Macaca fascicularis: one gene and its partners. The protein of the gene in region 1 interacts with the protein of each later gene in a pairwise test. Links are inferred from orthologs where the notes say so. Each region holds a gene or a part of one and is shown in the gene's direction. Other genes may lie near its edges.

Region 1 (3,653 bases):
GGCTCCTCCGCATCCCTGTGAGGAGGGTATGGGGAGGGACATCCCGGTGGGGCCCAGTCTGGGGCTACCTGTCTTGGACTTAATCGTGTAGCTGGAGGCCAGTACCTGGATGGCCCCTGTCACCCTCTCGCTGTGATGCCAGCACCTACTGACTGGAGGACCCGGGTTCCTTTGCCTGATTTTTCTCAGGCTGCCCTGAGGATCCGTGTTTGGTTAAAAAGGAGCCAAATCCACCTGCAGGGCAGGCGGCTCTAGCAGCCCCGCCTGGCTTCCAGCACCCTGGTTCCCTGGCGACACTGGACCCGCCTGGGCTTCCTTGATCCCAGCCCCACCCCTGATTTCTGATTTGCTGCCTCGGGAAGCCATCGCGCCGCCCAAAACCTGAATGTGGGCCTCTCGGAGCTCCTTCCTCAATGAGTCTGCTGGGGACTGGGCCTTGCCTCCCTAACAAGTGCCAGGTGAGGCTGCGGCGGCTCTGGCCCAGGCGGAGCTGCTGACCTGGCCCCTCCCTGCAGCTGTGAGGTGTGTGAGGTTCGTGGGCCTGCACAGGTGCGGGCGCCATCCAGGTCACCAGGGCCCTTGTAGGGACGGCCCCCCCACAGTTTGGAAGGCCTGGCGCAGCCCCCAGCTTTGTTGAGGTGGCCCTTGCTTGGCGCTGAGATGCCAGACTTGGAGGCAGCTTCAGTGTTCCCGTGGACTTTGAAAACCAGCACACACTTGGGTTTGAATTCTCTGGCAGGTTTTGTGCCCTGAGTGCTGTTTTTCATGGTAAAGGTGACCACCAGTAGGGTGACAGGTGAGGCTGGTGTCGAGGCTGCTGGCCCTGTCTGCCTGGTGTCCCCGGGGACAGTGCGGGCCGACAGGCTCCCGCTGGGAACCAGAAGGCAAAGGTGCCAAGCCCCTGAGGTCCCGTGCAGAAGTGTGGAGCTGGAATCTGGCGTGTGTGCCGCTGCCTCTGACCAGGGACCTGGTCCCGTACCCCATGCTCCTGCCCTGCCCCACAGGACCCGTCTGTCCCCTGAAGCCACAGGGACATGCTAGCGTCTGCAGGGTCCGGGAACGGTGGCCCTGTGGGGGGCTCCTCTTTCAGCGAGGCTGAGCCTCTGCCCTGTGGTACTTGTTCCACTCTGTCTTCAACACGGTGAAACCCCATCTCTACTAAAAATACAAAAATTAGCCGGGCATGGTGGCGGGGGCCTGTAGTCCCAGCTACCCGGGAGGCTGAGGCAGGAGAATTGCTTGAACTCAAGAAACGGAGGTTGCAATGAGCTGAGATAGTGCCACTGCACTCCAGCCTGAGGGACAGAGTGAGACTCCATCTCAAAAAAAAAAAAAAACAACAATATTAGGTGTCCCCCTGGCCCGGCTTGAGTCTCAGTTCTGAGCGCCTGATAGTAAGGCGGGGACCCAGCCCTGCCTAGTCCCCACCTGACGGTTCAGTGAGGACCCTGCCACGCCAGCCACCACAGGGTGGCAGCTACCGCCCAGCCACAGTGGCCCAGCCTCTGAACATCCGTCTCCACCGTGGAGCAGAGGCCACGGCACGTGTCGCAGACCAGGGCTCGGGGGGCCCATGGGGAAGGGGTCCTACCTGCCCCCCCACCCCCGGTGATCTGGGATCCACTCATGAGGCCTCCCCTGGTAGACCCCGGGGTCGGACGACGGCTTCCAGGAGGAGAGTCTCTGCTGGGCTGGGCTGGCGCCTGTTAGGAGCAAGACTGCCCACTGCGGGCCGTGTGCACGTGGCGGGGCGGTAGGAGCCCGCTAGCCTGTCCTGACCCCGTGCTCTGCCTCCTGTGTTCCAGGGACTCTGAACATGTCGGGGATCGCCCTCAGCAGACTCGCCCAGGAGAGGAAAGCATGGAGGAAAGACCACCCGTTTGTAAGGAGGGCTTCGTTTCCGTGTGCAGTGCCGCGGACGGCCCCCCTGGGCTGAAACCGTGCCCCCCCCCACTGGGAGGGAGCTGGCCGCGTGCCTGGGTCGCGCTGGTGGGGCTCGCGGGCCGGTTCTCAGTGGTTTTGGTCAAACGAGATGCCACCGCACTGATGTGCTTTTGTGGTTGTTTTCTCTCAGGGTTTCGTGGCTGTCCCAACAAAAAATCCCGATGGCACGATGAACCTCATGAACTGGGAGTGCGCCATTCCAGGAAAGAAAGGGGTAAGAGGCGCGCGCTGCTAGCCTCCTGCCTGTCGGGGCTCAACAGATGCGTGTGGCAACGCCACAGGGAAACTGCTCAGCCCCTGCCGTCTGTGACGGCCGCCCTTGTCACGGGCTGCGGACAACAGGTCAGATCCCCAGCTGTGGCCTGGCCCCCGCCCCGTGCGGACTTGAGCTCAGAAGGTGGTGCTGGCAAGGTTGGGGTGACAGCTGTGTCCCCACCGAGGGCATTTCTGGTTGAGAAGGAAGCAGGCTGGGCACAGGGCTGAGCTGTGGCAGAGGGGAGGGGCTCTGGTGTGTGTTGGGAGCAGGCCTGAGGGCGGGCAGCCTTTGCAGGCTGGAACCCGGGATTCTGCTGTGTCCTTCCAGGTGTGGCTCAGGTCACGGGAGCTGGGTTTGCTGGAGAGCCACCCCGGCGTAAAGCCGCCTCCTGGAGAACCTCCTGGGGCACAGGGACTGGCGACAGCAGCCTAGGATGCCTGCTTGGGGCCCCCTGTGTGTCTGTGGGGAGCAGGGCGGCCTGTGTGCCTGTCGTCTTTGCCCGGCTCCCGTGAAGCACTTGGCCGGGGACTCCAGGCTGGTGTGCACATAAGGTTCATGCTGGTGAACCCTGAAGGAAGGAGAGAGCCCTGAGGTGCTGGTCCTGCCCGAGGCCTTATTCCCTCCGGCCCATGCCACCCTCTGGGTTTCACTCTGAAACTCAAAGCAGCTTCGGTCCCCCTGAGCTGAGTAGTCCCAGCAGGTCTCAGCTTTGCCTGAGACATGGTGTCACTTGGGTTTGTCGCTTGTCTGAGGCTCTGCTGAGAACGTCCCCTGCTCTTCACGTCACCGCGATGCAGGTGTGCGGCCCCGAGGAAGACGGGAGTGGTGTCGGATTGTGGGGTGGCAAAGGCGCCTCATCCAGGCAGGATCTGGGGCGGGGCTTGCAGAACCCTTGGGGCGAAGGCTGTGCTTTTGGTGCTGCCGCCCCAGTGTGTGGCACCCGCCGCCCCGGCCCAGCCCCCGAACCCCGTCTCGTCTCCTTTCTAGGAGGACCTTTCCGACTTACTCTCTGGGCACAGCAGAGGTCCTGACAGTCCCCTTGGTGGGGCCAGTTCAGGCTTTAGGCTGGTTTGGGAGCCGCCACTGTCGGGCCTCTGGCCCCGGTGTCCTGGCAGTCGTGGGAGTTGTGTCCTAGAAGCGAGCCCCTTCCTCCTGGGCTGGCCTGAGGCGGGCAAGCCGCCCATCTCACCACAGTTTATTTCCCCACAGACTCCGTGGGAAGGAGGCTTGTTTAAACTACGGATGCTTTTCAAAGATGATTATCCGTCTTCACCACCAAAATGTAAGTAGCTCACTGTTGAGTGTCCTGGAAGTCAGCCTGTTCCTGTGGGGATCGGAGTCCTCTCCAAAGAGGCCCCAGGCTGTGGCCGTGGCGCCCGGGCCAGGCAATCCACGTGGAGCTGGGAGGAAGATCACAGACCTGGAGGTCGGCTTTGATCCCTGATCCCCGGCT
Region 2 (2,610 bases), on another chromosome or scaffold:
TATACAAGAGCCTAGACCACTAGACTGCAGTGGGTTCATACTGGTGAACAGTGGAAAATAAGAGCTTCCTAGGTAAAGATGGTAGAAGAACCCGATGAGCAGAGCAAAAGGATGTACCCTTGACTTGTTGAGTGGTCCTTGTAGGCTTTTGCACATGGATGAATGAGAGAAAATGTAAGTTCTAAGATAGTGGTACAGGGCAGAGTATATGGGGAGAGAAAAGTATGCAGGCACAGAGGGGGGACTGGAAAGGGTGCCCCTACAGTGCAGGCGGAATATCTGCAACCAGGCTGCCTTCCTGAGCCATTGTAAATCATGGTCGAAACATGTCATTGATGTCACTTCCAGTTTAACCCATTGAACAGGAAGATGAGGCTTGCTGTACACCCCAGTTGCAAAGGTAGACAGACCAACGAAGGTTCATTGCTGTCATTTTGGGTGAATCCGTGATAACGTTGTAAAAGATTCTCTCTTTTTTTGCCTTTCTAATTTTCCAGAAGCTCCACTAAGTTGTCCTATTGTCAGCATTTTTCACTTAACATTTAACTATATCCTTTGAAATGTAAGTTTTGAATACCATTTCCTGGGCTCACAGTCTGGAATGGAAGTGGATATACAGCTCTCGTGAGTCTGTAAAATCTAATCCTGTAAAAGAAAGAAACATATATACATGGTCTGGACAAAGGCTTTCCTGTATGGTCATGCAGTAATACACCACACGGTCCCAAAGGGTGCTCACTACCTCACAGACATCCTAGACTTTTTTTTTTTTTAAATAATTAGGATTTCACTTTGTCACCCAAGTTAGAGTACAGTGGCATGATCATAGCTCACTGCAGCCTCAACCTCCTGGGCTTAAGGGATTCTCCCACCTCAGCCTCCCAAGTAACTAGGACTACAGGTGCACACCACCATACCCAGGTTGTTGTGTTTCGTTTTGGTTTTTTGTTTTTTTTTTTTTTTGGTAGAGGTGGGGTCTCGCTATGTTGCCCAAGCTGGTCTCAAACTCCCTAGGTTCAAGTTGTCTTCCCACCTTGGCCTCCCAGTGCACTAGGATTATAGGCCTGAGCTACCATGCCTGGCCCTAGTCTTTTTAAATAATCATTTTGCCACTTTTTAGACAGAGAAAGGGGTACCTTTTCCTAATTTGCACTAAGTTAGCGTTAATCTCGGGGTTCAGTAGCTCTCCAGCTGTATAAGATGATGGAGACTTTATACACAGGCTAGAGTTCAGAGTGAAGACGGCTTTAGGAAAATGGAATCTCTTAACTCCTCCACTTCTTCCAAAGGTTTATGAAAACCCCAGATGAAATCATGAGTGGCCGAACAGACCGTCTGGAGCACCTGGAGTCCCAGGAGCTGGATGAACAAATATACCAAGAAGATGAATGCTGAAGGAACCAACAGTCCACCTCAGCGGGCCAGCAGCCCAGGGAGCCCCTGCACACCAGGATTGCTGGAGGTGTGACGGAGCAGGCGGGCTGAGGAGAGTGGAAAAGGAAGCGACCCAGAAATGGCAGGGACACTTCTCTTGCAGACGAAGAGGGACCCTGGAGCACCTTGGACAAACCACCCAAAGGCGGGGCTGGAATTCTGGCAGAGGGCATGAGCCTGGGACTCGCATGTCACGTTTCCTTCTCATTTGGAATCTCCATCTGTAATTCCTCACCCTCACCCTTCCACCGTTGTTAGTTTCATGGTGTTTTTGTTTTTATTTTAAGAACATGCAGTTTGACTCTTCATCATTCATCTAGGGGAAGACATCCGATGTTGTTTTCCTATGGAAATATATATCTATTATATATATATTTTTTGCAAACCTCACAAAGTGCGGCAAGCCCAGCTGGTCAGGAAAGAGAATACTTGCAGAGCGGTTCAGGTTCCTCTTTTTCCTGCCACATGGATCAGGTTTGTTCCTGTTACTGTTGGGTCTTGGCTGAAAAAAAAAAAAAAAAAAAATGCTTTTAAAAAAGATAAAATGAAAAGGAGAGCTCTCTTTTTCTCTCTCTTGCTCTGTTCTTCCCTTGGTCCCCTCTGTCCTCCCTCCCTGCCTGCTGTTGCGATTCAGATGCCTTCTGACAGAGTTCAGCCTCTTGGAGAGTCTTGGGGATTGTTGGCACCTAAACAGGATCAGTGACCTGGGTGCTTTGTGGCCAGCAGTACAGAATCAAACCCACATCCCAGCATTTGGCCACCCATCTGAGGGAGGCCAAAATCATCACAGATGCTGCTGTACTGCAGACAGATACATGCTAGTCCAGAGAGCCACCCCTGAGATGACTGTGAGAACCACGCATCTAAGGCGTAAGATAAGGACGGAAGGCCGTCCAAGTTACTTGGAAGGCCTCGGCAGTTGGGATTAGCTTGGGAGCGCTGCAAAGTGGAAAATATGAAAAGACCACACAGGCCCAGCAGTCTAGAAACTGGGCAAAAATCTTCTGCAGTGGAGATTTATTTTTCCAAAGCAGGTAGCAGAGGCTGGTGAGGAAAGATCCTCTCTGCTCCATTCCAAAGGCCATCTTGCCGTCAGTTTCATGCCTTCGCCTGATTTTTTTTTTTTTTTTCAGTTCCTAGCCTTTTTTAAAGTTTCCTGGTCTCCACTGGACACAG
Region 3 (3,038 bases), about 42 Mb from region 1:
CGTGTGAATACAGAGTGCCGATTTTATCCAGGACTTCACCTGTAACTCCCTATACCTATCAATAGCTGACTCCAAATTAGAAAGAAATAAGAGTAAGGGAGTCTCAGGGAGAGAGTCCTAGCAAAACGGATTCGATTAAACTTCAGTTCCTTGTATAGTTTCTCTAGTTGTTTATGGTCCATCTTCTATTTTAGCATTTATTATTCCATGTAGTCTATCCAAAGACGATTAAGGGAGTTCCAAATGTTTTCCGGAATATTTTGAAAAGAGAGCTTATCCAGTGTACAGATCCTAATAAAGTGCACATTCAGTGTAATTTTATTTTTTAGTATGTTACTTTTTAAATTCTATTTATTTTTCTTTCTCTTTTGCTCAGTAAATTTTGCATGAAACTTTAAGTACTTCTGGCATGTAAACATTATTTGTAAAATAAGTCATGGTTATAATTATTTTTCTCCTGCCTCCTTATGTATTTATTTCAGAAATGAGCCGTCAGACTGCTACAGCATTACCTACCGGTACCTCGAAGTGTCCACCATCCCAGAGGGTACCTGCCCTGACTGGCACAACTGCATCCAACAATGACTTGGCGAGTCTTTTTGAGTGTCCAGTCTGCTTTGACTATGTGTTACCACCCATTCTTCAATGTCAGAGTGGCCATCTTGTTTGTAGCAACTGTCGCCCAAAGCTCACATGTTGTCCAACTTGCCGGGGCCCTTTGGGATCCATTCGCAACTTGGCTATGGAGAAAGTGGCTAATTCAGTACTTTTCCCCTGTAAATATGCCTCTTCTGGATGTGAAATAACTCTGCCACACACAGAAAAAGCAGACCACGAAGAGCTCTGTGAGTTTAGGCCTTATTCCTGTCCGTGCCCTGGTGCTTCCTGTAAATGGCAAGGCTCTTTGGATGCTGTAATGCCCCATCTGATGCATCAGCATAAGTCCATTACAACCCTACAGGGAGAGGATATAGTTTTCCTTGCTACAGACATTAATCTTCCTGGTGCTGTTGACTGGGTGATGATGCAGTCCTGTTTTGGCTTTCACTTCATGTTAGTCTTGGAGAAACAGGAAAAATACGATGGTCACCAGCAGTTCTTTGCAATTGTACAGCTGATAGGAACACGCAAGCAAGCTGAAAATTTTGCTTACCGACTTGAGCTAAATGGTCACAGGCGACGATTGACTTGGGAAGCGACTCCTCGATCTATTCATGAAGGAATTGCAACAGCCATTATGAATAGCGACTGCCTAGTCTTTGACACCAGCATTGCACAGCTTTTTGCAGAAAATGGCAATTTAGGCATCAATGTAACTATTTCCATGTGTTGAAATGGCAATCAAACATTTTCTGGCCAGTGTTTAAAACTTCAGTTTCACAGAAAATAAGGCACCCATCTGCCTGCCAACCTAAAATTCTTTTGGTAGGTGGAAGCTAGACACATGAAGGTAAATGAAAGGAAAGGCTGTTAAATACAGGAAACAGTTGCATGTAGTAACACTAATATATTTAAAAATAAGTCAACAGTAAACCACTGAAAAAATATATGTATATACACCCAAGATGGGCATCTTTTGTATTAAGAAAGGAAGCATTGTAAAATAATTCTGAGTTTTGTGTTTGTTGTAGATTGATTGTATTGTTGAAAAATAGTTATTTTGTTTTGTTTTTGCGTGGGAGTGTGTGCGTGCGTGGGTGTGTGCGTGTTTGGGTTTTTCTCCTTTAACTGACAAGCCATCTTGAGTGGTCATGGGCCACTGCTTTTCCCCTTTGTGAGTCAATACATAGTGCTGCTGTGTGCTTTTTTGTGTGTGTATTTGCTAATTTTTATTAATTTTAGTTTTTCATTAAATAAATTTGACTTTCCTTTCTGTAATTCAGGTTTTTCTTCACTTTTTTTGTACCATTTTAAAGTTAGTGTCTTTTGATATGCATACTTGTTATGGTAAAAGTTTGTAACATGTGTTCAATATTTTCTTTTCCCCCATTAATCAGTTCATTAGAAATATTTTAAAATCAGCTACTTTGTGAAGCTATGAGTTCCAGAAAGTAAAGGTGACATCGGAAAAATGATCAAAAGCTATTTAAAGCATCTGTAAGATGGTCTCTCTCTTTCTCTCTTCTACGGATGAGTCACACCTTTGAGCTTAATCTTTGAAAGGTTAGAGAATAAATTGATTTTTATAAGTACTGCAAATCAGGCTTTTGTTTCCTTTTTCAAATATCTTGGATAAATCACATGTTTAAAATTTGTTCTTGTATTTATTGGTTTTGCAAAAGAAGGCATCGTCATGCACAGTATTTGTAATTAAAAGCAAATCATTTGTTTAAAAAGGCAGTTTGCAAAAAAATGTTTTTGGTCTTTTATAATTCTCATTAAAAGAATTTCTGGCAAATTAAAAAAATCTTACTGTGTCTGCTTTAGCTCTAAGTTTGATAAAATCCAAAGTTATTTTCCTGTTTCATTCCGTACTTTAATTATATAGCAGAAAGCTGTGTGTTGTCATTTTTAAGTGTGGTAGAGTTATACTCTAAATCACAGCAAATAACTGGGTATATGGCTTCTGGATTACAGTCTTTCCCATGCTCTGCCCCTCTTGCCCACATTTTGATTCTTACAACTGTCAGGAGAATGACTAAAATGCTGACCACTTTTCACCTCTTTAAAAAAGCACAATGAAATAATAAATTTACTATTTCATAGCCTAGTGGTTAAGAGCCTTGGTTCTGCAGCCAGACTTCAGGCACCTAAGTGCCAGTCTCGGCTCTACCCCACTAACCAGCTGTGTGACCTTGGGCCCCAGTTTCCTAATGTGTAAAGTGGGGTTAAATTATGGTAGCTACTTAAAAAGTTTTAATGGGGTACAGGTATGTTACCTCAAACAGTGCTTTGTTCATATCAGCATCCAGTGAATGTTAGCTACCATTATGCCTTTAGTACCATGTAGTTAACTTGCTAATTACTTTGAGGCACATGGCAAGATTCTGAAATTGCCTTCTGAATAGTGAAAGATAATTTTGTGTGGTTTGTATTGG

Evidence for each region.
Region 2: the proteins of UBE2I (region 1) and ETV6 interact in a two-hybrid assay, tested with the Homo sapiens proteins (2 studies listed by BioGRID and IntAct, with this or other methods). The link is inferred for Macaca fascicularis from reciprocal best matches to the Homo sapiens genes UBE2I and ETV6.
Region 3: the proteins of UBE2I (region 1) and SIAH1 interact in a two-hybrid assay, tested with the Homo sapiens proteins (2 studies listed by BioGRID). The link is inferred for Macaca fascicularis from reciprocal best matches to the Homo sapiens genes UBE2I and SIAH1.

What each region holds. Positions count from the first base shown.
Region 1 is NC_088394.1:2,058,856-2,062,508, forward strand, and holds part of UBE2I (SUMO-conjugating enzyme UBC9), read left to right. Parts: intron 1-1,805; 5' UTR 1,806-1,816; coding exon 1,817-1,882; intron 1,883-2,074; coding exon 2,075-2,158; intron 2,159-3,409; coding exon 3,410-3,482; intron 3,483-3,653. UniProt on the Homo sapiens protein: Accepts the ubiquitin-like proteins SUMO1, SUMO2, SUMO3, SUMO4 and SUMO1P1/SUMO5 from the UBLE1A-UBLE1B E1 complex and catalyzes their covalent attachment to other proteins with the help of an E3 ligase such as RANBP2, CBX4 and ZNF451.
Region 2 is NC_088385.1:14,669,075-14,671,684, forward strand, and holds the end of ETV6 (transcription factor ETV6), read left to right. Parts: intron 1-1,289; coding exon 1,290-1,395; 3' UTR 1,396-1,979; downstream 1,980-2,610. UniProt on the Homo sapiens protein: Transcriptional repressor; binds to the DNA sequence 5'-CCGGAAGT-3'. Plays a role in hematopoiesis and malignant transformation.
Region 3 is NC_088394.1:44,266,502-44,269,539, reverse strand, and holds the end of SIAH1 (E3 ubiquitin-protein ligase SIAH1), read left to right. Parts: intron 1-482; coding exon 483-1,333; coding exon of another isoform or gene 1,334-1,436; 3' UTR 1,437-2,407; downstream 2,408-3,038. Other genes in the region: LONP2 (lon protease homolog 2, peroxisomal), read right to left, coding at 1,317-1,436. UniProt on the Homo sapiens protein: E3 ubiquitin-protein ligase that mediates ubiquitination and subsequent proteasomal degradation of target proteins.